3 linked regions of the Lepisosteus oculatus genome follow. The protein of the gene in region 2 purifies or fractionates together with the protein of the main gene of each other region. This does not show direct contact. Links are inferred from orthologs where the notes say so. Each region holds a gene or a part of one and is shown on either strand. Other genes may lie near its edges.

What was found.
Region 1: the proteins of cdk16 (region 2) and ccnyl1 purify together in Homo sapiens (affinity purification with mass spectrometry; 4 studies listed by BioGRID and IntAct, counting the BioPlex papers as one, with this or other methods). This does not show direct contact. The link is inferred for Lepisosteus oculatus from reciprocal best matches to the Homo sapiens genes CDK16 and CCNYL1.
Region 3: the proteins of cdk16 (region 2) and ccny purify together in Homo sapiens (affinity purification with mass spectrometry; 3 studies listed by BioGRID and IntAct, counting the BioPlex papers as one, with this or other methods). This does not show direct contact. The link is inferred for Lepisosteus oculatus from reciprocal best matches to the Homo sapiens genes CDK16 and CCNY.

The regions. Positions count from the first base shown.
Region 1 is NC_090707.1:7,597,769-7,605,451, reverse strand, and holds the start of ccnyl1 (cyclin-Y-like protein 1), read left to right. Parts: upstream 1-4,498; 5' UTR 4,499-5,131; coding exon 5,132-5,297; intron 5,298-7,683. Other genes in the region: protein N-lysine methyltransferase METTL21A, read right to left, coding at 268-674, 1,064-1,175, 1,670-1,832, 1,996-2,048. UniProt on the Homo sapiens protein: Key regulator of Wnt signaling implicated in various biological processes including male fertility, embryonic neurogenesis and cortex development. Activates the cyclin-dependent kinase CDK16, and promotes sperm maturation.
Region 2 is NC_090697.1:76,680,114-76,688,097, forward strand, and holds the start of cdk16 (cyclin-dependent kinase 16), read left to right. Parts: upstream 1-4,721; 5' UTR 4,722-4,948; intron 4,949-5,552; exon of another isoform or gene 5,553-5,799; 5' UTR 5,800-6,005; intron 6,006-6,474; exon of another isoform or gene 6,475-6,496; intron 6,497-7,984. UniProt on the Homo sapiens protein: Protein kinase that plays a role in vesicle-mediated transport processes and exocytosis. Regulates GH1 release by brain neurons. Phosphorylates NSF, and thereby regulates NSF oligomerization. Required for normal spermatogenesis.
Region 3 is NC_090701.1:38,337,400-38,345,548, reverse strand, and holds the start of ccny (cyclin-Y), read left to right. Parts: upstream 1-4,944; 5' UTR 4,945-5,458; coding exon 5,459-5,612; intron 5,613-8,149. UniProt on the Homo sapiens protein: Positive regulatory subunit of the cyclin-dependent kinases CDK14/PFTK1 and CDK16.

The sequences.
Region 1 (7,683 bases), on a different chromosome or scaffold from region 2:
ATGACGTAGACGTGTCCACCTGGGGTCCCGAACAGATGGACGAAGACCCTTCTCTCAAACGATGAAGATCTGCGCACGTGACATTTCCAGCTCGATCCCCCTGGCCCGGAAGAAGACCAGCAGCCTTGAAGCGTCCCGGCACAAACCAGCACTCCCAGAACTCGCCCTGCTGACGAAGACCACCGAGGGGGGGGGTGAGGAAGAGCGGAGCCGGGCTGGGGCGGTTCTCTCGAGTGGCGGTAAACCCCCCGGGGGCTGCGCCCGCCGTCACAGGTCCCGCCCGGCGGGCTCGGCGCGGCGCTTCACGGCCCGGTAGACGCGAACGTCCCCCCGGGCGTGGTAGTGGACCTGCTCCACGGCGAAGCGCCGGCCCAGCGCGGCCAGGAAGGCCCGGTCCCGCTCGTAGCGGAGCCGGCAGGCCAGCAGCACCACGCCGCCCTCCGAGCTCAGGTGCTCCAGCGTCGCCAGCAGGGCCGGGAAGGTCTCCTCCAGGTAGACGATGTCCGCCCCCAGGACCAGGTCGTAGCCGCCCGCGGTGTACCGGTGCAGGGCCTCGCCCCAGGCCAGCTCGGACACCTCCGCCGCGCCGCGCAGCTCCGCCGGCAGGTTGGCCCGCACGTTGGCCCGGAGGAAGTCCAGGGCGGGCTCCCGGTCAGTGAGGGTCACCCTCGCCCCTAGGACACAGAGCAGGGGCCCTGTCAGACGTCAGACCCCCTTCCCAGCCTGCACTGCCAAACCGACCCCCCCCCGCCTGAATGAGACCGATGGGGGGGGCGCGCACGGCCAGGTGACACCGAACGCAGGTCGCCAAGCAGCTGTGCGCGTCCTGCCTGGGAGCACGGAAGATTCGGCCTGTCGCAACATAAACCACTGCGATCAGAGTCTGACCAGACAGGAGTTTGCTCCTGCTCCACGAACCATTCTTCCATGACCCCAAACCACAGGGCGAAACACGGCTTTCCAAGGTGCCTCCTCCCACAGCGACAGCTCCATCACAATTTGAGTACAGCGCAGTGCCCGGGAAGGGACAGTGCCTACAGGGCCCCTGACCGCCGGTACTCACCCAGCAGTGTTGCCACGATGCCCACCAGCCCGGTGCCAGCCCCCAGCTCTATGGCCTTCTTCCCCTGCAGCTCCACCTCGCCCAGCTCCAGGTACATGCACAGCACCACGGCCTGCAAGCAGACGGGACAGCACAGGTCTGCACAGAGCTGCACCCCCACCGGCCAGACCCCCACGCCCCGTCCCCCCGCTGGCCATCCAGAGACGCCCCGACCCCCCGCTGGCCATCCAGAGACGCCCCGTCCCCCCGCTGGCGAGACCCCCACAGCTAATTTCCCATCTGGGACAATAAAAGGATGTAAGGAATTGAGCGAGTGAGGCCGATCCCCCACTGCCCGCGGACAGCCTCCGAGGACGACGAGCCCCAGCACTTCTGTTTGCAACCAACATTTAAACGCTCGGCCCCCCAGTTTCACATTAGCGTTGGGGGGGGGGGGGGGGGGACGGAGGGGAGGCGCTTCTTTACGCAAAGAGTTGTAGGAGTCCGGAACAAGTCCGATCACCCCCCCTCCGCCTCCTTTCAGGAAACGGCTGGGCTACCTCGTAGCAGCGGCAGCTTTTGAAGACTGAAGCAGCTAGATTGAACCCTTTTGAAAAGCCCACTCACGGCGTCCCAGACCACCGCCGCCACGCCCAGCCGGCCCCAGTCCTGGGCCAAGCGCAGGCGGCGGCCGGCGAAGCGGAACTCGGCGGCGGACTCGTGCAGCCGGGACAGCGCGGGCAGGGCGCTCTCGTCGTACGGGACCAGCGCCATGCTCCGCCGGCAGCGCCTGGGGGAGAGAGAGAGAGAGCACACCGGTCAGCCGGTTTCTGCGGTACGACACGAGCACGGAGTTTGTTTTTGAAGAATGCATCTTCCCGAGTGGCCTGTCTCCTCCCCTCTCCCAGCTTTTGTTATTCTGTGTTATTGAATCTTTGCTGTCTTTCTCACACCTGAAGAAGGCTTCACAGCCGAAAGGTTGTTTTCTCTCTTCCCTTTTCAGCATGCAATAAGCCTATTATATCTTCCTTTTGTGTCGTTTTATCTGCTAAATGAGCTCCGGGGGGCTCATTTCTGCTGGATTCCCCGTGAGCTGGCTCATTCCTGGATTCGTGCAGTAGATCCTCACGTGTTCCACCTGGCCCCACAGACACTGGCGACCTCTGTCCCCACGGCGGGCTGAGTCTTTTTGAAACACTGCTAAGCTACTACGAACTTGAAAAGTTACCACACACACAAAAAAAAGTCAATCGTATTCAAAATCTGTTTTAATCATCCCCAAAAAGAAAACGTATAACCTTAATGTTAAACATTTGAAACCTATTTCTCTGAATAGGTTACAGGTTACTACTGAAACCTAATTCTCACGCTAAGGGTGAACTTTATTAACAACCCCGTTCCACTATTATTTTCTGTCGACCTCGAAAAAGAGCTTCTCTCCCTATCCTGGTAAGATGTCCTATCTACAGCTGTGCTAGGTGTGATTTTTTAATTATTTTAAATAGGATATTGCTGGTGAAGTCTCGTAAAAACAATAACTGCAGCTTACCCACTAGCGAACAATCAAGGACATACCGGAAGTCGCTCAGGCAATCCCAGGAGTGCTAACGGGGGGGTCCCCTTACAATCTCGCGATGTGATGATGTAAGTCTAGCTCTCAGTTCACGTGCTGATGCTCTAGCCTAGCGAGAAGTGTTGTGGGCAAAAGTCACTTGTTAAGGAGACGTGTGTGTGTTCCTGGAGGGAAGTAAAGTTACCAGACAGAAGTGTGGAGACTGATTTGTATAACAGGACATTTTATTAATAATAATAATAATAATTTACGCTGAAAAAAGGAAGGAAGAAAACACAACGTTTCGGCCGTGGAGCTTTCTTCAGGCTCAAGAAGGCTCCACGGCCGAAACGTTGTGTTTTCTTTCTTCTTTTTTTCAGCATGGAATAAACCTATTACTTGTTCCATTGCAGCCTATGCATGCTGATGCAGGTGCCCACCTGAACTATAACAATAATAATTGCTTACACTTATACAGGACTTTTCTGGACACTCCACTCAAAGCGCTTTACAGGTAATGGGGACTCTCCTCCACCACCACCAGTGTGCAGCCCCACCTGGATCATGAGACAGCAGCCAGAGTGCACCAGTACTCTCTCTACACTTCAGCTCTCAGTGGGGAGGAGAGCAGAGTGATGAAGCCAGTTCAGAGATGGGGATTATTATGAGGCCATGAGTGGTAAATAGATTGCTGGGTCTAATCCCAGACTAGAATAAAATGAAAATCCCCATTGAACCGCTGCACACAAAATTCTGAAAAAAACATTCTTCGTGTGCACAAACATGGCACGGTGCTTGCTGGGCTGGATTAGACCAATGCCCAGTGCTGATTAATATGCAGAAAGAAAATGTTGGCAACAACTAAAAGCAGCGACTACAATTAATAACTTGTTGTGAATGTTTTGGTGATTTTTATGGCGTTGGCAACACTGTTATTGCCAAATAAAGTTCATTGAGCCTGTGCTGTCTGTTGTTGTACGGTACACTTCTGTGTTTAATTATTTTCTGCTATGTGCCAGAATAATATTACACTGCCAATATTCCGTCGTGCCGTTTTTCTTTGCACAAATATTCTAGCAATTCCTGTGTAACATAGCGTACCAATAAAGCCCGCATATACTGTATAAATCTACATTAATACTTTTCAAAGAAACTCAGTGTCGTTTTCATCATGCCCTCTGTTTCAGCGGATGTGGGCCCTTGTACCTTTAAGGACATAGCAGGCTGCCCTCTGGGGTCTGGAGTATGTTTCCAGACCCTTGGAGGGACTTTTAACCTTAAGCCCCACCCCTTTCCACCGGAATGGGGAGGGGTATCATGGGTTGCCGTTTGACTGACAGTGGCAGTGTTCAGAAACCAAGAGGCATTCGGTGACTGACATTTAATCTAACGAGTAAGGAGCCAGATTAGTAAAAGTGGGCGGGGTACTGACCAGCCTGACCGCCTCCACTTTGGTCACGTGACAACACCACGACCCAATCAAACTACTCGACTCGGTCTGTGTTTGGACGAAATAGCCAATCGGAGCGCGGGGCCTCGGTGGTGGGTGGGGCTCGTGTGAGTGCCAGGTAGTGGCGCTGGGAACAGATGGCGGTGGTGGCGGGGAGCGGATTGCTGAACTTGCCGGTGGGGAGGAGGGGATAGCGCCGGGGGGGGGGATTCTCCATAGCCGATACCGGGGTCGAGTTGAGTAAAGCCGTGCTCCGAAAAAGGCTGAGGCCGAATACGTGCCTGACTGGACTCCCCCAGGGGGGTTGAAGCCCGCTGGAGCAGCCTGGGGTCGTAGGCCTCTCATCCTCGAGGTACAGTTGAGCTTGGATCCCGTAAGAGCGAGCGGGGCGAAGAGTGGAGATCTACCTCGGAGAGACGCAAATCCCGGAGCAGAAGCAAGCAGGCGGGCAGGCGGGCGGGCGGACGGGGTTGGAGCGGATTAGTGGAAATCCAGGTTCATACACTACATTTAAAAAAAAAAAGAAAACAGACTCGAAATAGAAGCTTCTCCAAAGAATCGCCGCTTGTTGCAAACTTGTTCGGACTAATCCTTTCCTTTTTTATTAAAGAAAAAAAAAGCATGTAGCAGGAGAAACGGCCTGATCGGTTTCGCTCACTTCTTCTGGGACTCTTGGGGCGGGTGTAGGATTGGCTGAGGAGTCGTGCCGCCGGGTTGAGGCGAGCGGAGAGAGCGGTTCGGACAGCGCTGGCTCCGGTCCGGTCCGGTGCGGTCCGCTTCGCTTCTGGGAGCGCGCCCTGCTGGGCTGGCGGTGCCCGCAGCCTGGGGCAGGTCACCCAGCTCACCAGCCAGAGGGATGTAACTTTCCAAGCGGAGTCGTACCCGCATCGTGAGAAAAAACACCTCACACTACTTCCTTGCGGTTTCAAACGTCACGGTTTAAATGCAATTGGATTTTAAGGCCGGGCGGGCGTCCTCGTAGCTCCGAAGCCGAGGCAGGACAGCGGGTTTCGGCGAAGCAGGCTCTTCCTGAGGGGTCGAGGCGCTCGCCAGCAGAGTCCCGGGACCCGCCAGCGGGACTGTGGGGATGGGGAACACCGTGTCGTGTTGCGTGTCTCCCGGGGGCAGTCCGAAGGTCAGCCGGGCGAGGAGGCAGCAGGAGCGCCTGGAGGAGTACCGAGTGGACCCGGACCTGAGCGAGCCCGACACCGGGCCCTACCTGCAGCACATCAGCGACAGGGAGGTCCCGGACGGTGAGTGTCCCGCGGCGGGTGGGGAAGGGGACACGGGTCGGGCGCGGAGGGGAAAGCGGACCTGCGGGACCGAGGGAGCTGGACATGCCTCCTTCCCCAACCCAGGAATCCTGTTTAAGCCTCCCCGACTCTGAAAGACCCCCAATATTGTCCTTTCTCCACCGTTAGTGCTTCACTGGCGGTCCACCCAAAGCAGGCGCTGTCCGGGTCGGCCGCAGCAGCCACGGGACCCGAACTCTCTCGACAGTACTGAGGCCAGAGATCCAGTTAGGCGGTACCAGCTCGCAGGTGGGGGCGGTACTGCTACTGCCCCCGCCGTAGGCTCGGCAGAGCTGGTTAAATCTCTCAGGGGCGCGGTGGTGTATTTTATAAGGATTTTTTCACTCGTTTGCTCGCGGGGTTGAAGTTGGCAGGTCTTGCACTGAGCTGCGGGGCCGCCCGTCTGAAGCGGTAGCGCAAGCTGGTTGAGCGCAGGACATCTTTTTGATAAAGACCCGAATGCTTAGAAATATGGCGTCAGAAGTGTTGTTGAGTCGATATCTGTCGGTGGCAGGTCCAGGCCGGGTGGTTTTTTTTTTTGAGTGTGTGTGCGCGCTGGACACTGACACGGGTGTGTGTGTGTGTGTGTGAGAGCGTGTGCACGCTGGACACTGTGACACTGGGGTGTGTGTGTGAGAACGTGTGCACGCTGGACACTGTGACACGGGTGTGTGTGTGTGAGAACGTGTGCACGCTGGACAGTGACACGGGGGTGTGTGTGTGTGAGAGTGTGTGCACGCTGGACACTGACACGGGGGTGTGTGTGTGAGAGTGTGTGCACGCTGGACACTGACACGGGTGTGTGTGTGAGAACGTGTGCACGCTGGACACTGTGACACGGGTGTGTGAGAACGTGTGCACGCTGGACACTGTGACACGGGTGTGTGTGTGTGAGAACGTGTGCACGCTGGACACTGTGACACGGGTGTGTGTGTGTGAGAACGTGTGCACGCTGGACACTGTGACACGGGTGTGTGTGTGTGTGTGTGAGAGCGTGTGCACGCTGGACACTGTGACACTGGGGTGTGTGTGTGAGAACGTGTGCACGCTGGACACTGTGACACAGGTGTGTGTGTGTGAGAACGTGTGCACGCTGGACAGTGACACGGGGGTGTGTGTGTGAGAGTGTGTGCACGCTGGACACTGACACGGGGGTGTGTGTGTGAGAGTGTGTGCACGCTGGACACTGACACGGGTGTGTGTGTGAGAACGTGTGCACGCTGGACACTGTGACACGGGTGTGTGAGAACGTGTGCACGCTGGACACTGTGACACGGGTGTGTGTGTGTGAGAACGTGTGCACGCTGGACACTGTGACACGGGTGTGTGTGTGAGAACGTGTGCACGCTGGACACTGTGACACGGGTGTGTGTGTGTGAGAACGTGTGCACGCTGGACAGTGACACGGGGGTGTGTGTGTGAGAGTGTGTGCACGCTGGACACTGACACGGGGGTGTGTGTGTGAGAGTGTGTGCACGCTGGACACTGACACGGGTGTGTGTGTGAGAACGTGTGCACGCTGGACACTGTGACACGGGGGGGTGTGTGTGTGAGAGCGTGTGCACGCTGGACACTGTGACACGGGGGGGTGTGTGTGTGAGAGCGTGTGCACGCTGGACACTGTGACACGGGTGTGTGTGTGTGAGAACGTGTGCACGCTGGACACTGACACGGGGGTGTGTGTGTGAGAGTGTGTGCACGCTGGACACTGACACGGGGGTGTGTGTGTGAGAGTGTGTGCACGCTGGACACTGACACGGGTGTGTGTGTGTGTGAGAGCGTGTGCACGCTGGACACTGACACGGGTGTGTGTGTGTGTGAGAGCGTGTGCGCGCTGGACACTGTGACACGGGTGTGTGTGTGTGAGAGCGTGTGCACGCTGGACACTGTGACACGGGTGTGTGTGTGTGAGAACGTGTGCACGCTGGACACTGACACGGGGGTGTGTGTGTGAGAACGTGTGCACGCTGGACACTGTGACACTGGGGTGTGTGTGAAAGCGTGTGCACGCTGGACACTGTGACACGGGGGTGTGTGTGTGAGTGTGTGCACGCTGGACACTGTGACACGGGGGTGTGTGTGTGAGTGTGTGCACGCTGGACACTGTGACACGGGGGGGGGTGTGTGAGAGTGTGCACGCTGGACACTGTGACACGGGGGGGGTGTGTGAGAGTATGCGTGCTGGACACTGACATGGAGGGTGTGTGTGAGAGCGCGTGCGCTGGACACTGTGACACGGGGGTGTGTGTGTGTGAGTGTGTGCACGCTGGACACTGTGACACGGGGGGGTGTGTGTGTGAGAGCGTGTGCACGCTGGACACTGACATGGAGGGTGTGTGTGAGAGCG
Region 2 (7,984 bases):
CCCACACAGACCTGCACCGCTGGGCTCACAGGAGCCTCCCCGCCCCGCCAGGCAGCAGGGCTGCGCCGCAGCAGCTGTCCTCCTGCTACCTGTGGGGTTTCTCCGGCGCTGGAAGCGCTGGACAGTCTCCCAGTCTCTCACCAGCCACACGAAACCCTGGCAGCCGAAGTGGTTCCGAAACACCGCTTGGGTTTTAAAAGGAGTTTGCAATCACCAGACGTGTCCTATTCCCCCCAGCACACACACACACACACACACACACACACACACAGCACGCACCAGAGCAGTCCCTGCTCCCTCACCCCTGCGCTACGCCTGCGGTGCACCGATGACAGCCAGGCTATTCTCCAGAACAAGCAAGAGAGGGTTTCCCCCAAAACAGGTCTTACTTTAAACCGCAGCTGCAGGCAGGCGGGCAGGCAGGATCCTTAGGAAGAGGTTTTTGTCTCTCGTCGTCTGTCTCACCGACTAAGTCCCACTCTCCCTCTCTCCACCCCCCTTCTCTTTCACTCATGCTCTTTCAGCCACCCTCCACCCCCCACCTTCCAGCCTCCAGCTCCCTGCTCCCAGCTCAACAATACTTGAGTTTCATGCTTTCCTGGGGGGGAGGAATGGGAGGTGGTAGGGCCGAATTTAGAAAGCTGGGCTCAGAGGGCCTGACTGTGACAACTACAGACACACAGACACAGACACAGACACACACACACACACACACACACACACACACACACACACACACACACACACACACACGTGCTGGGAGTCCACGTTTCTGCACAGGAGAATCTCCAGCTTTTCTTAGCCTGCCTGCAAACGTCTCGTCTTGCTTCTGAGTCTCAGCTGCTCTTCTGTCGTCTTCTGCTGTTTTAATTGATCTCGAAGTGAAGGTCTGAAGTCCAAATTTGAGCTGTCCGGGAAGTGACGAAGCCGAGCGCTCAGAGGTCAGTGGATGATGCAGGATGGACAGGCAGGGTCAGAGGGTTAAGACGGGGACAGTCTGCCAGGCTGGTGGACAGGGTAGTAGTGAGCAGACGGAGAGAGGGCGCGTGTGATAGAGCAGAAGCTGAGTATTTATAATCCTGCTTGATCCAATTGTGTATTAATCCCTGTCTCTCCTCCCCACCTCCTGCCCTCCCTCTTTCCCTTTCCTGACACGCAGTATAGCCCAGGCCCTCCCACACAGGCACAAGCACAAACACAGGGCGCTCACCCAGCTCGCAGCCTGATTCAAATCCGTGTTTGATAAGCTGTACTTTGGAGCAGTAAGTTTATACCGGTATACAAATACGCCCAATGAAGACAAGTTCTCATGAGCACTGCTGGAAACGGCCACCAGAGGGCGCAACAAAAGAAAGTGTGACAGAGCCTTAACTCCCTCTGGTGGCCGGTTCTTGAAGTGCTCCTAAGAACATTTCTTCGTTGGCTGTTTGTATGTTTGTGTTTTCGGGTATGTGGCGCTGTTGAAATCTCCGCGTGATGGTGTCAGGCATAAAGGGCTGTGCTGAGTGGATAAGCTGACGGGTGTCTGTAAGGCAAGTCATGTGATTGCAGGAGCTCAAAGGAGGACAAAGATGTCCAGGGAGATCTCATACAGACTGTTCTGGAAGCATCTCTGGGAATCCCAGCTTCCACGCCACAGCTGGGCCGCTCGCTTCTGAACCCCACAACTCTCGGGGTAAGGTGTGAGGACGTGCCTCCTGTACTCGTTTGTAAGTGCGCTTCCCTGAGGTTTTCTGCGTTTATCCCCTGGTTTGTGTTTCCTTCCTTTTACACACTTGTGAAGAGGCCCAGTGAGGGCTGACCAGAGATTTAAAATCAGGTAGAGCAGGAATAAACACAGCCGTGAAATGTGCAGGGATTCACTGGCAGCTGGCTGGAGATTCAGCTGGAAAAGAATTACATTGTGGGTGCATTTACCACAGTCCATCACAGTAAGATCACGTCCTACACTGGTAACTGTGTATTAGGATGTGGTGAGGTTAGGACCCTTCCTCTGAAGGCTTCTTTTTTTACGTTTCTTCCACATTTTGCTAATGTTTCACACTCGACAATCGCTTGAGTATTGAAGCCAGCAGGCAGGCGAGAAACACACGGACGAAGAGGAGCCCTGATGCGGAGTCTCTGCGTGCTGTTCATCCTGTGCCAGCTCTGACAGAGTGACCTTTCCCTTCTGTGAGCGCCCCCAGGCTCTGGGCACACAGCGCACTGCCCTACTGCGCCAGTCACCTGCAATCTCATCACCACATGCATAGAGCACAGAACAAGCGCTTATGAGTGCACATACAGAGGATCAAGGGCTTGTGAGCACACACACACAGAGGAACAAGGGCTTGTGAGCACACACACAGAGGAACAAGGGCTTGTGAGAACACACACAGAGGATCAAGGGCTTGTGAGCACACACAGAGGAACAAGGGCTTGTGAACACACACACACACAGGAACAAGGGCTTGGGAGCACACACACAGAGGAACAAGGGCTCGTGAGCACACACACACAGAGGAACAAGGGCTTGTGTGCGCACACACAGAGGAACAAGGGTTTGTGAGCACACACACAGAGGAACAAGTGCTTGTGAGCACACACACAGAGGAACAAGGGCTTGTGAGCACACACACAGAGGAACAAGCACTTGTGAGCACACACACACAGAGTAAAATATGCTTGTGAAGTGTACACACACACAGAGGAACAAGGGCTTGTGAGGTACCCTGCCTTGTTTCATCTGCAGCACTGGAGATATTAAATGTGCACTTTTGCCCTTTGGGAAAATCGCAGAGCTACCTGACAGATACGTTTTTTTTAATTCTTTCTGTATAACGTTGGGAGTGCTTGTTCAACGTTCACAGCTCAGTGTGCCAGTTTCCATGTCATTTGGCACTTTTTAATTTGTCCCCTAAATGGCCTTTTCCCCAGTGATTGATGCACGCACGTCTGCTCCGTGCTTTTCCACTCTGCCTCCCAGAATGAGCACAGCTGCTGTGGCGGATCGGGCTGTGTTCAGTGGGGGCGCTCCTGTAGAGAATCTCCAGGGCTGGGTTTAGTCAGATGTTAACTGTCCTCTCCTGAGCAGGAGAGGAGGAGCCATCTTCATAAAGAAAGATGAGATGAGAGATGCAGATTGAATAATGAATCAATCACGTCTATGAATTAATCAATTGCATCTTGCAGATAGGAGGGAACCCCCAGACCCAAATGGATATGAGCGGTCATTATGGGACAGTTTAAACGCACTGATAAGGAAATATCGTGAGAGCACCAAAATTGTTCCAGAGCACGTTCAGCAATAGGCTGATCCCACCACGGTGCGACAGGGGGCGCTACAGGAGGTCATTCTTGCCTTCTGCCCTAAGACTGTACAACGCCTCCACTGTGTGTCTGGGCAGGGGCAACATTGACCTGTTTTTGGACTAAACATAAAACTCTGCTTCCATCTGGTTTTTTCCTGTTTACAACTGTTTTATGTGCAAGATATGCTGGGGAGTTGTGCAATATATTTATAATGCGCAATACATCTTGCTGTGTCCAGTAGTTTCGGGTCTCCTTTTGTATATTTTGTACTGCGAGCAACTCTGTATAATCCATTTTTTTCCTTCTACTGCACTTCCCACTGACTGTATTGACTGTATGGTATTGTTGTATCATTTCGTTACACTGTGCTGTGCTTGACTTTGTTAAGCTGCCGTTGCACTGCAATTTCCCTCACGGGATCAATCTATTGTGCTTTAGGCAAGCTTTCATTTACATACCCTAGACGTTAGAACTGAATTAGCACTTGTAAATCCCGTTTGTCTGGAATAATAGTTTTGGTTCTGTAGATTCTCTTCCTCGTCCACCTGCTCTCTGAAGCCCTCAATCCGTGTGGCTAAGGCAGGTGCCCCGGTCGACATCCTGTAGGCACGCTGAACGGGCGCAGTCGCGTTCCAAGCTGCTTGTCCACAAAAGGCTACACATCCAGGCAGCCACAGGTGTCGAGTATGGTTAATATTGTAGCGTCCTCGCCGCTTCAGGTCATCCCCCCACCGTTAGGGACTCGAACCCGGGCCTCCAGCGTCACTCAACAGGGACCCAGCCAGTTGAGCTACAGGGAAATCTCCCCTTAGCCCCCCGCCAGAGGCCCGGGTTCGAGTCCCCAGCGGTGGGGGGGCCGACCTGGGGCGGCAGCGGCGAGGGCGCATACCCACGTGAGCCCGAGAGCGCTACAATATCTACACGTGCGATTCAGGCGTTGTGTTCAGTACGGATTTACCCGTTTTGCTTCGCTTGACGTTACTTCTGAGCGGGGAAAAAAGTGCAGAATCGCTCGTCTGCGAGGGACTGAGTGACTGCAAGCTGCGGCTTCTCACTCCGGCCGATTAACTCCACAGGAAACTCAAACTTCACTATTTACCTCTTTTTTTTTTTACAGCAGTTGTCCCTGTTAAAAGCCGAAAACAACACTCTCTTACACGGGAGATTAGAAAATGAAAATCGTCCAATGCGACAACCGAGTAACATTTCCTTTTCAAAACGTTACTGCTGTCTCTCAGAAAGGGTCTCATTCTCCTGAAGCAGCCGGGGGGTAACGTCTCCTTACTTTATCGGTTGTGCGGGACGCTTTGAAATAACTGAGATCTACCCTTAAAGTGATCTCTTTAACGTCTCTCCCTCGATCTGCTTTACGCGACCTATAAAAGTCTAAAAGCGTTTGCGGAGCTCACTGAGGGCGTGACAGCTCCGCGACGAGTTTTTGTTTTTAATGGCCTTAGCGGTGTGTTGTAAACCCTTTCCGAGCTGAGGCAACGGATCTTTCGATGTGCTCGGTTCCGAATCGCAAGTGAAGGCATCCTTATTGGTGATTAACGAGATCACCAGGTTTCTCTCTTCGGTATTAGAACAGGTTCCGATCATCTTTAAGGAGGACGGGTGTTGAGCTGAAGGCCAAATCCTGGGGAGTAACGACAGTGTGGTCAGTATGAACTCGGAATAGCTCGGACTGCCGGTGTGCATCTTCAAGTGACGGAGTTTCGCGGTGTGAAATATGTAGGGAGACTGTCGCGCATCTCGCTACCACGATTCCTTAGATAAGCCATCGCCGTAACAGTGCAAAAAAAAACCCAACAACCATCCTAGTCCGCATCTGCCGTGAGTCTAGGTCTGATTTACGCATGAAATTCTATTTTGTTTCCCATTTCAAGCCGTCTCTGTTTAAACTCCGGGTCTTGACGTACAGCGCAAAATTCGCTCTCCGTCAGAAGGGGAGCCCCCGAAATTTTTACTTATGGGCTTGGAGAGGAGGTTTGGGGGACTACAGAACTCGGGTTCTGGCCCCCTGTTTTCTGGACACGTGAAATCGCTCGGTATGACCCCGGCTCCTAATCCACCAGACCGGGGTTCGGGATCCTCACGTCTGTGACGCAGATTATTACGAGGCTGTTCCACCATTCTCCAGTGACGCGACCGCCCCCCTCCCCCTCTGCGCCCTCACCAGATGGTACGTCCCTGGTTTCTCTGAATGGAATTCGGGCCGTACCATCGCCGGGCACCGACGAGGAGAGGAGGGGGAGGGGACGTGTCAGTCTGGGGATGGGGGGGGGTTAGAAAACCTCACAGTGATCGGCGAGTTACAAGCCGGGCACGGGGTTGTGAGCGGTGATATCAAAACGGGAAAATCGGTGGAGCGCAGCAGCCCGGGACGTGAGGCACGGCGTGGAATATTTCGGTCGGGGTGTACGAGAGCAGCCCCGCCCCCCCCTGTGCGTGTTTCAGTCCAGGTTTTTGTGACTCGCGGCTGTTCCCGTCTCCCCCCTCCGCTCCCAGGATTTAGGGAAAGGGGGTAGAACAGAAAACCAGCTGTGCCGCAGTTCGCGAAAAACACCAGCGGCTCGGGAGCTGCCGGAGGTCGGGGGGATATCCGCGTCCTGTCGGAGCCTGCCGGACCATGGCTGAAGACTACTGGGAGCTGCCAGCGGCCCGGGGACATTACTGAGACCGTGCAGCCAGGGCAGCAGACGTCCCGCGGCGGGGTAAGATCTCTCCCTCTCTCCCTCTCTCTCTCTGCGGGCGGTGGGAGGGTCTGCGGGCGCGGATTTGCCCCCGTGTTTGTGCACGGGGCAGCTGGACGGCGGGGCTGGGCAGAGGCTCTGTCAGCCTCCTGCTGCCCCGCTTTCCACGGCGAGGTCCCGCAGGATGAGGTGTTTTCCGCGTCGGCTCCCAAGTAACGGAATCGCCCGCATACCTGCCGCCGACTGCTGGCGGGCTAATTATAACACCGCATTCCTGCGCGCCCGCGGCGGTTATTTCCGTGCCGGGGGGTCGGCGGAGGCAGGTCCGGGGGTCTCCGAGTCTCCGCAGCGCGCTGGACCACTGTTTCATGGGGATAATAATGACGTCATACAAGTGCCGTGATTTATAACCCCCCCCACCCCTCTATTGATAGCGGCAGGGCTGAAACGTGGCCGGTGCCGTGTGCCGCAGTCTGGGCTCGGCCCGGTTCCGGACGCCCGGGCTCGGGCTGGTGAGGAGAACCTGTCCGTCCGCCTCGTCGTTCGGCTGTTACCGCACAGGGGCCGGCGGGGCTGCGCAGGGACGGCGATGTTCGTGTGTTCAAACGGACTTGGGGTGACTGGGGGGGGTCGGCGGGGTGCGTTTGTCAAAGACACAGCGGGTAGTCGTGGGTCGTGGTCTCGGGGTCCGGAGTTTAGCGAGATCTCTCGCCCCCCCTTTTCCTGTGGCTGGAACCCAGGGCCGGAGGGATACCCCGAGTGGGGGGGTGGGGGTCTTTAACCTGCACGAGCTCGCAATCCCCCCCCCCCCCCCCCTCTCGAGGACCGCTCGCACGCATTCCGGGCCGGTGCAGCAGCAGCAGCGGCGGCGGCGGCGCACGCGCCCGGGCTGGACGGTTTCGCGTGGACCGCGCGAGGCTGGCCGCCGGGGCTCGCGACGCGCGTGGCTCGGTTTCCGGAGAGCGGGGGCTGCAGGTGCGAGACGGACTGTGAGGCTGGTCCCCGGCGGAGAGGTGTACAGGGCCGTGCGTTACGACTGTCTTGCGTGTTTAACTCATGACAGCGCGTCGTGAAGCCGGAATGAATAGCTCTTTTAGGATGGCACTTTGGGAACTAATGTCGTTATTGCGTATTAAGGTTTGCGGTACGGCTGCTCTTTCAGGGCAGGCGAGCACGTCTGTCACAGCGCCTCCAGCCCGCAGCGCTCCTGTCTGCGATGCCCACGGGCGTGGGGTGCCGTCACGGGTCCAGCGCGTGTGTGCGGGCGCGCGGGGTGCCGCTGCGTGACGCCGTCCAGGCGCCGTGGTTCCGGGGCTCGGGGCTCTGAGGGGTCGCGGGCCCCAGCCCCGGGGAGGCGGTGACGTGACCTTGGCCCGTGCCCCCCGAGGGCAGCGTCGTCATGGAGACGTCTTCGGGCACGAGACCGGACGAGACGCTGCAGCTCCGCTGGCGGGGATGGGGTCAGTCACGAGGAGAGGGTGCCTCGCTCCCACCCCTGCCCCCCCCCCTGCCCCAGCGGGGCTGTCCCGGGATCACCAGGCACCCGGGAGGAAGAGGAATTGGACACGCTTTCTGTTTTTAAAAAAAGAGGGATGATGTGATTGTATTCGTTAGTCAGCTTCCCCTGATCTTTGGAGCTGGAAGGATCTCTCTCTGGGCTCTGCCTTTGGCCTGAGGAAGAGGAAGAGGAGGGTGAGAGCTGGTGTTTCCGCCATTCAGAGCCCTGGGGTGCTGGAGGAGGTGGGCATTCAGAGCCCCGGGGTGCTTTGTGTCTGGCGCTGGTCCGAGGGTCGTGGGCCTGGCGGGTCACCCCAGGGGGGGCTAGCTGGGCTTTGGCCACGGGACAGGTGGAGACAGCTGTGCGCCGTGCCCGCGGTCGGGGAAACGCTCGGTACCCATGGCTTCGAAGAAGTCGGAACCACAAGGCCGGCTCTTGCGTGCCGGAATTCACCAGTGCCGTCTGCCGCTCGGGCGGGCCTGCGAAGAGAATTCCCACCATT
Region 3 (8,149 bases), on a different chromosome or scaffold from region 2:
GCTCGATCATGATTTCTGGAACTTCCCTATAGAGCCTGGACTGTGTTTTCTCTGTTCTCATCTTCATTGCTGAGCCCAACACTTGGAATAAGACCAGGTGTCAGGGCATTGTAGCCTTCGGGATATACCACATCATTGCACATGTATGTTAAGTTTCATTGACTATTCTAAGTTCTCCCTTTCTGATTATGGTTCAAGGAGATTTCAGGTGTTCTAGAGGACAGCCACCACAACTAGTATCTTATTCCCGGAATACAGACAATCAAACAAACGCATTAGGCCTAATGACCTCTCTTTGGTGACCTTTCTGATGTACAAAGGTTCATTAGAAAGCTCACCAAAGGTCATTTATCATGATATATTTAAATAGTTCATCTTTTAAATTAGGTTGATACAGTGGCATGGCATTTAGCACTGCTGCTTTATAGCTCTTGAGTCCTGGTTTGATTTTTTTGTGGAGTTTGCATGCTCTCCTTCTCTGGTTTTCTCCCACTATCAAAATACATACTGTTTATGTTAACTGGCATCTTTAAGGAGTCTTCATTATGTCTATGTATCCTGTGCTAGGAGCCCAGTGCCTGCTGAATTAGGCACCAGCTCACTGCCACCCTGTATAGGAAAAAATGCCTTTATTGTTTTGCACCACAGTGTATATATATTTTGACCTGACCAGAGAACAATTCATCAAGTCCATTAGTGACCAACACATAAAACAAGCACTTAAAAAGACTGGAACGGTGACACACTTCAGTAAATACAGAAGGCAGAAGGGGCCTGACTCAACACAGTCCTTAACTGCTGTGGAATGGCATCTAAAGTTACAGGTTAGCTCTAAATCACATTTACTCTCCAGGGCAACCTGTAATCATACAAAGTGGTACCTCAACAACTGAAGGCTCCCAGCTGTGTGACACAAGTTCTAATACTCCTAGATTCTGTCATTCATACACACTGCCCACCTGCAGCACCCACAGCAAGGACAGAAGGAGCTGCAGAGGGTTGTGTTGCTCTTCCCTTGAAGAGGCTACTAGTGAAAAACACTTTGGTTTGTGTTGCCTGATCATTAACATCTTTTAATCAATGTACTGAAAAAGTAAAGGGGCAACCGATGTTTAGATACGTAATAGAAAGTGTGGAGGCATAGTGGCACAGTGGTTAGCACTGTTGCCTCACAGTGTTAGGACCCTGAGGTCAATTTCAGGCCTGGAGTACTATCTGTGTGGAGTTTGTATGTTCTCCCTCTGTTTGTGTGAGTTGAATAATAATAATAATAATAATTAATAATTGCTTACACTTACATAGTGCTTTTCTGGACACTCCACTCAAAGCGCTTTACAGGTAACGGGGACTCCCCTCCACTACCACCAATGTGCAGCATGCACCTGGATGATGCGACAGTCATAGTGCGCCAGTATACTCACCACACATCAGCTATCGTTGGTGAGGAGAGCTGAGTGTTGAAGCCAAATCACAGGTTTAATCATGGCCATGACTGATTAAAAGCCAATGTGAAATTTGGCCCAGATGCCAGGGCTACACCCCTACTCTTCTCGCGAAACATCCTGGGATTTGTAATGACCAAAGAGAGCCAGGACCTCGGTTTTACGTCTCATGCGAAGGATGGCGCCTTTTTAAAGTATAATGTCACTATACTGGGGTGTTAGGACCCACACAGACTGCACGGTGAGCGCCCCCTGCTGGCCCCACTAACACCTCTTCCAGGCAGCAACCTTAGCTTTCCCAGTTGGTCTTCCATCCAGGTACTGACCAGGCTCACACCTGCTTAGTTCAGTGGGTTGCCATCCTGTCCAGGGAATACTCTGCCTTACTTCCATCTCTTGTCAAGATAGCCTCTGGCTCTTTAATGACCCTGAAATGGATGAAACGGGTTAGAAAAGGTCTCAACAGAAAACTAGACAAAAGTGTATTTAGATTTGAGAAAATAAAATATTTCTTTACCCAAAAGGTTATGTAAGTATGGAACCGTCTGCTCAGCCATTTTGTTCAAATGGATACCCTGGCTTGTTTCAAGAATCAGCTGGATACAATCTTTAGATGAATTAGCTACTAAACTCCAAATGGGCTACATGGGCAGAAGGTCCTCCTCTTATTTGCAACCTTTCTTGTGTTATTAGTGCTGAAGAGGTGTATTCAGTTGATGAGGTAGCAGGTTATGGTTGGGTTTCATTCATTTTCAAGGCTGCTCAACATGCCAGTGTAGAGAGCTGTCATTTTCACCTTATGTTTAAATATTTCACTTTGATCAAACAACTACCGAATAGTTCTAGTTTAGGTATATGTAAATAACTGCATTTGTATTTTTAACGTTACCTTTCTCCACTGCACAGCATAATGAAAGAGGAAAAAGGAGACAGAAGGAGGAGTCCCGCAAAGCTAAAGATGACATAACCACAATAGATGTGTGCAACCCAACAGCTTGTGGAAAGACCTTAGAAAATCAAACCTAACAACTAACTTAGATTCCAATCAAGTAAAAAGAGAGCAGCTCAGTACTTTTGTGACCTGTCAAGTCAGTTCTTAATTCACTCTTTACAGTAACTGAAGAGAGACTAATGTGATATTTCGTGGATAGGATATCGAATGAATAACAAGGTGATGTGTAGCTGACTAGATAAAACCCCTATTAATAAATAACCCCCCTTACTGCTAACTACTGACAATGCTGCCGAATCATTTGTAGATTCCTGATCATTATCATCAGCAAGAATTTGAAAATGCGTCTGTAAACACACTATGAAAAAAACATTTCTGAATCAAATTGGATTTACATCCTATTTCATTTTGTAATGCAGACCTGCATACATAATAAACAATGGCTGTGTCATGTCAGGGCAGTTCTGCCATCTTTGCTACAGACCTACATAGGTGACCTTTCATCTCTCAACTAGATAACAAGCCCTTACTAGTAATCGGAGCTCCTCAAGGTGTCACAGTCAGCATGAAGGCACATCAGTCTTTATCTGTTTTAGCAGAGGGCATTGTGTCTGTTATGCTGCCCATGTTAGGAATCCCATAAATACAGAAAAGAACATGACAGTAGCAAGTGAGGCTGAGGATTTCACTGTCTCATTTCTAGAGCTGTCTTCTCTCTGCCATGCAGGACACTGTTGTGAGGCAAATTCCTTCTGTCCATGCGTTTCCTAACCGTTTCATCCAATTTAGGGTCACGGGGGAGCTGGAGCTTATCCTGGCAAGCAATGGGCGCAGGGCAGGGTACACCCTGTATGGGACACCAGTCCATCGTAGGACAGACATATACAAACACACACTCGCACCAGGGCCAACATTCCCAGCAGCAAATAAACTTACCAGTGTGTCTTTGGATTTTGGGAGGGAACTGAAGCATCCGGAGGAAACCCACGCGAACATGTGGAGAATGTACTAACTCCAAACAAATAGCACCCTAGGTTTGGAGTTGAACCCAGGGCCTCAGTGACTTGAGCTAACCTTCACAAATTACAACCCACACAGAGTCATAGCCCTGATTAGGACCCTTATATTCAAAAGATCTTTACTAGCTGAGTACTTTACTGATGTACACTACTGTAGCATGATATGTACAGAAAAATATATGTAATTTTGAAGGCCACATGAATAAAAAATGTTACTTAAAAAGTGAAACACAAATTCGTAGTTTGTGAAATGAGTAAAGTAAGGCTTGTTTGGGTCTCTCTAATTTTAAACAAATCCTCACACAGCTACTTAGAGGAAATGGCCCCCAGTATCCTTCTCTGATTTCCATTGAATCCAAATAGCTTGTTTGTCAACACTTCAGGCTGAATCTACTCTCATATACGTGCATTAAAATAACATCCTCTTGATATTAAAGGTTGTTATTTGAAGGTAGAAAATAAAAATGAACTGCAAAACATTTGAAACAGAAAACACAAATGGACTTGAAACAGACCCTGACATATAAAAAAACATTGCACAACATTACGAAACATAACTGATACTGAGAAACAAAAACTTGCTTCATGTGAAAAGTGTATCTGATATGCAGTTAATGGCTGACATGTTAGTAATAGTAATTGGAACGTAACTACTGCTGAACTTTCCTTAGTAGTTTTTTTATGTGATTCCCAAAACACATTTCTTGCAAGTTCCTTAAACCACTCAAAAACAAAGCAAAGGCAATTCTTAGTTTTTGTGTTATACTGATCTTTATCAAAGTCACACAAATGTGACATTTACCATGTAAACATTATCTGCAGAGAAATCTGAATTTCTCTAAAATGTGTTACAGTAGGAAAAAGAACTATTGTAAGACTGACGATCTCCCAGTCTGTGGGTGAACAAGCACGCAGATAGCAGACGGGTTAAGCTAATATCTATTCAATTATTACAGCTTTCCCACATGTGATAGAAATTAATACTTAACACCAAGTGAAGAGTATGTGATGTCCATAGACATCATTTATATGCTAATAAATAAGGATTTCCTTTCTCTTTTTCTGTCTTTTTATTTATTGGCACAATTTACTTTGATTACTGGAATAATAAAATTACTAATATTTGGGCAGCAGGAAATGGGACCAAACCGTTTTTTTAAATAATCCGAGATATCTTTTTAGAGACCTTTCCAACATTATAATTTCTAGGTTTTAATCATTTTTTATCCTAGCGCCAAACATACTTACAAAAAGCTAAAACAAAAAGAAACATTTGTATTCATATAAAACAGATAACAACACCTTTCTGTGGTGTACAGTAAATTACGTGTAACATACAACCGTTCTTATATTTACTTAATTTACAAAATACGAAATGAGTACAGCTATTTTAATAATAAACGCAGTTACGACAAGAGAAAAACTTCATTTCCAGGAGAAAAACTACATATTACGCTTGAGCCCTCCATTCTTTCCTGTCCAACACATTTTTAGGCTCCCAGCAGCGAATTTTGCAGAAGCGTTACCACCCACTTGAACCGGAACCTTTTCAATCAAACTGCTTCGACTGTGTTGCCTCTGTTTGCTATGTACACTGACAGCAGGAGCCGCGACGCTTGCAATGTTTCGCTAACATCCTCAGTTTACATGCCCCTGTTAATGGGTTTAAAATGACGAGGGGATAACAGCAGACCCCCTTTCGTTTTGTTTATTTAGATCAATCACGACAAGTAAACCAGACTGCTGCGTGGGTTGTGCAGATTTCAGTGCCTGCTTAAAATATCAGGCGGGCAGAAAGAAAAGGGAGAGGGTTTCAAACCTTTCTCCGATTTCTTGCTCTTTTTTCTGTTCGCAAATGGCTTTGCATTATTGCTGCTGCTGCTGCTGCTGCTAGCTAGGACCGGACGAGGGTGTATAACTGATCGGATATTCTGGTGTTGCAGTTCCACCCTCGGCGCCCTAGCCTTCTCTTTCAAGACCAGCTTCGGTCTGTGCTGCCAAGCAAAGCTGAAGAGCACTGAGTATATTAAAAAACAACCCTAAAAATGGGGAACACGACGTCCTGCTGCGTGTCCTCCAGCCCCAAGCTCCGGAGAAACGCTCACTCCAGGCTGGAGTCCTACCGCCCGGAGCCCGAGCTCAGCCGAGAAGACACGGGCTGCAACCTTCAGCACATCAGCGACAGGGAGAATATCGACGGTAAGACGGCAGATAAATCACCATGTCTAACGTGAAGGAAAAAAAAATCCAGGACCGCTAAAACCAACGTCGATTTCGTAAATCCAAAGCCCCTCCTTTTTGTTCGGCATATATTTTGTGAAAAAAAAGAGGACTAGTTACAGTGCTGCGAGGTTCGCAATTGCTGAAGATTCTTGAAATTATTTTTTAATTCTTAAGTTGTAAGAATTGAAACCGTGAAGATGCTCAAAAGCTCGAGAATCGTATGACTATTAATCGGGATCGTGCTTGTTGTCATTTGTATCTGTACAAGCGAGTAGAAATTGTGATTTATTTTTTGGGTGGCCCTTGTGTTTTGCAAACAAGCGACAGGAGCTTTGACACAGACTGACAAGTCGATTAGGTTGGCTCCTCAATGTTGTCATCCCGCTGTGAGCATGAATTTTATTGCATCTTGTTTTTTTAAGGTATCGGCGCTTCTAAATAATAAAGGTTGTTCATTGTTTGATGTACTTAGTTATTTACATAGCGGTGTTTGGGGTTTTATATTGTTATCCATCTACCAAACATACACACTACCTCTCCATATGTTTGTTTCACGTTCATAAATCAGTTATTACATGGTTTTGTCGTGAAATGTTCCCTACCGCGAGTGACTTTACAACGAAGAGCCTTGATCTGTTAAAACTTTTTTTTTCCAATAAGAGGAATCGATAATTTGTTGTTGTGGACCTAGTTCAAACCATGTTTGCGGGCGGGTCCCCGGGTTCTCCTGGGTCTTTTTGGTGAGAGCCCAGCGTCCAGCCGGTTGTACTGTGGGTAGTTTCTGATCTGATTGCATTTAACTTCTTAAGGTGTGTGTAATCTAAACATTATTTACTTCATTCAGATTGGATTGTTTATAAATACGTTATGGCATAAGGCCGTTTATTGTTTTATTCTGTAGCTAAATGTTCCTTGAACAGCCGATACCCTAAAGGTTAATTTAAACTGCGACTTCAGGGCACTCCCATGACTGTACTGCTGTGTGTAATGATTTTAATCTTCATTCAGTCTTGTAAGATCCGTAAAAGAACTACATGTTAATTAAAACACTCTTCTAAATTTGGTTACAAAACCACAGTATTAGTGTTCGTAGCCTATTATGGGCACTGTGCTTAATTGCTTTGTAAAAGTCAGAAGAATGAAATCATTTGTTAAAAGCGATAATAAACCCTGATTACCTCCGGATTTTTAAGTAGCATTTACAGGCTAACGAGGCTATGATAAACTCACTAGTGCAGCAGTGAAAGTTCCTTTATGAAAATACTCTTTAAAATCAGAAGGCACGTCTTTTACAGAGAAATACAGTACTGCAATGAGATATATTAATGTTAAACAGTTTTATAGCTTCAATTGATCTGAAGACTGACAAAAAAACAGCATAATGAATTGCACGAATCACTGTTACTGCACGTATTTTACCATTTTATCATGTAAAAACAACTTTCCAGGTTAATCCCAATTACAGAAGTCGGCAAATATTTTTTTTCCATGAATTTTACTACTCAGTTCTTGTAGAATTTTACTACTTAGTAATACGCCTAAGCAAGCACTAAATATTTCTTGGTGATTCCCAAAACATAGAAAGTTAAAAGGCATATAATTTAAAAGCGGCTATTGTATTGGTGGCTTTCCCATTTTATAAACTAAATAAAATTTTTAATTTCTTTTTTGGAACTTGTCTATAAGCTTGTCCTTTCAGTACTGGTGCCATTCTAGACAAGTAACTGGCCTGTCACACTATCCTTGTTGTATTCTAGGACAGCAGATCCTAGAACAAATCATCACTATTAGACACCTCCCTTATAGCTTCACTAGGAAACCTCTGAGGTACATTTTCTAAACATTGCAAAAAGATGTTTAACATTTAATATAGTTAGAACAGGTAAATCAGAGTGAATTAAGTTATTACCCTTCGTATTACTTTGTGTGCTTTTCATTTTAAACCTTACTAAATAAACATTGAGGTACTGTAATATTAGTTACTTGGGCTTTAAATGGTTTATAAACTGAAAGAAAATTTTGACAATCGCATAGCAATCAATATTTGCAGCATAAAGTTCAAAATTAACTCAGTGAAACATTACTTCCAGTTTGTATTGTATGATTAGCGATGCAAGGGGGAAATATTTTTTTTATTTGAACAATTTTTTTCCTAGTTTTGATTTTCTTTCCACACCCAATTTGCTTTCGCCAAATGTTTCTTTGTCTCGGCTCACAGCAGCGACTCCAGTACTGCTGAAGGAGAGAATGAGGACTGAGGGACAAGCCTCAGTCTGACCTGCCCTCCTATTGAGACGCTGCTCTTTGGTCACTCTGCAGGCTCAGTGGTGCCTGACGGGAGAGTTAGTACTGACTGGATGAGGGGTGGGTTTCTCTCTGACATCACATCCGGGTGCTCAGAAAGCTGGCCTTTGATGGAAAGCTGAGAGAGCCCTTACTGATTGCTGTCTGCCTTGCTCTGGCGATACTTTACTAACTCCAAGCAGCTGCAAGGGGAATCCCAGTCAGTAAGC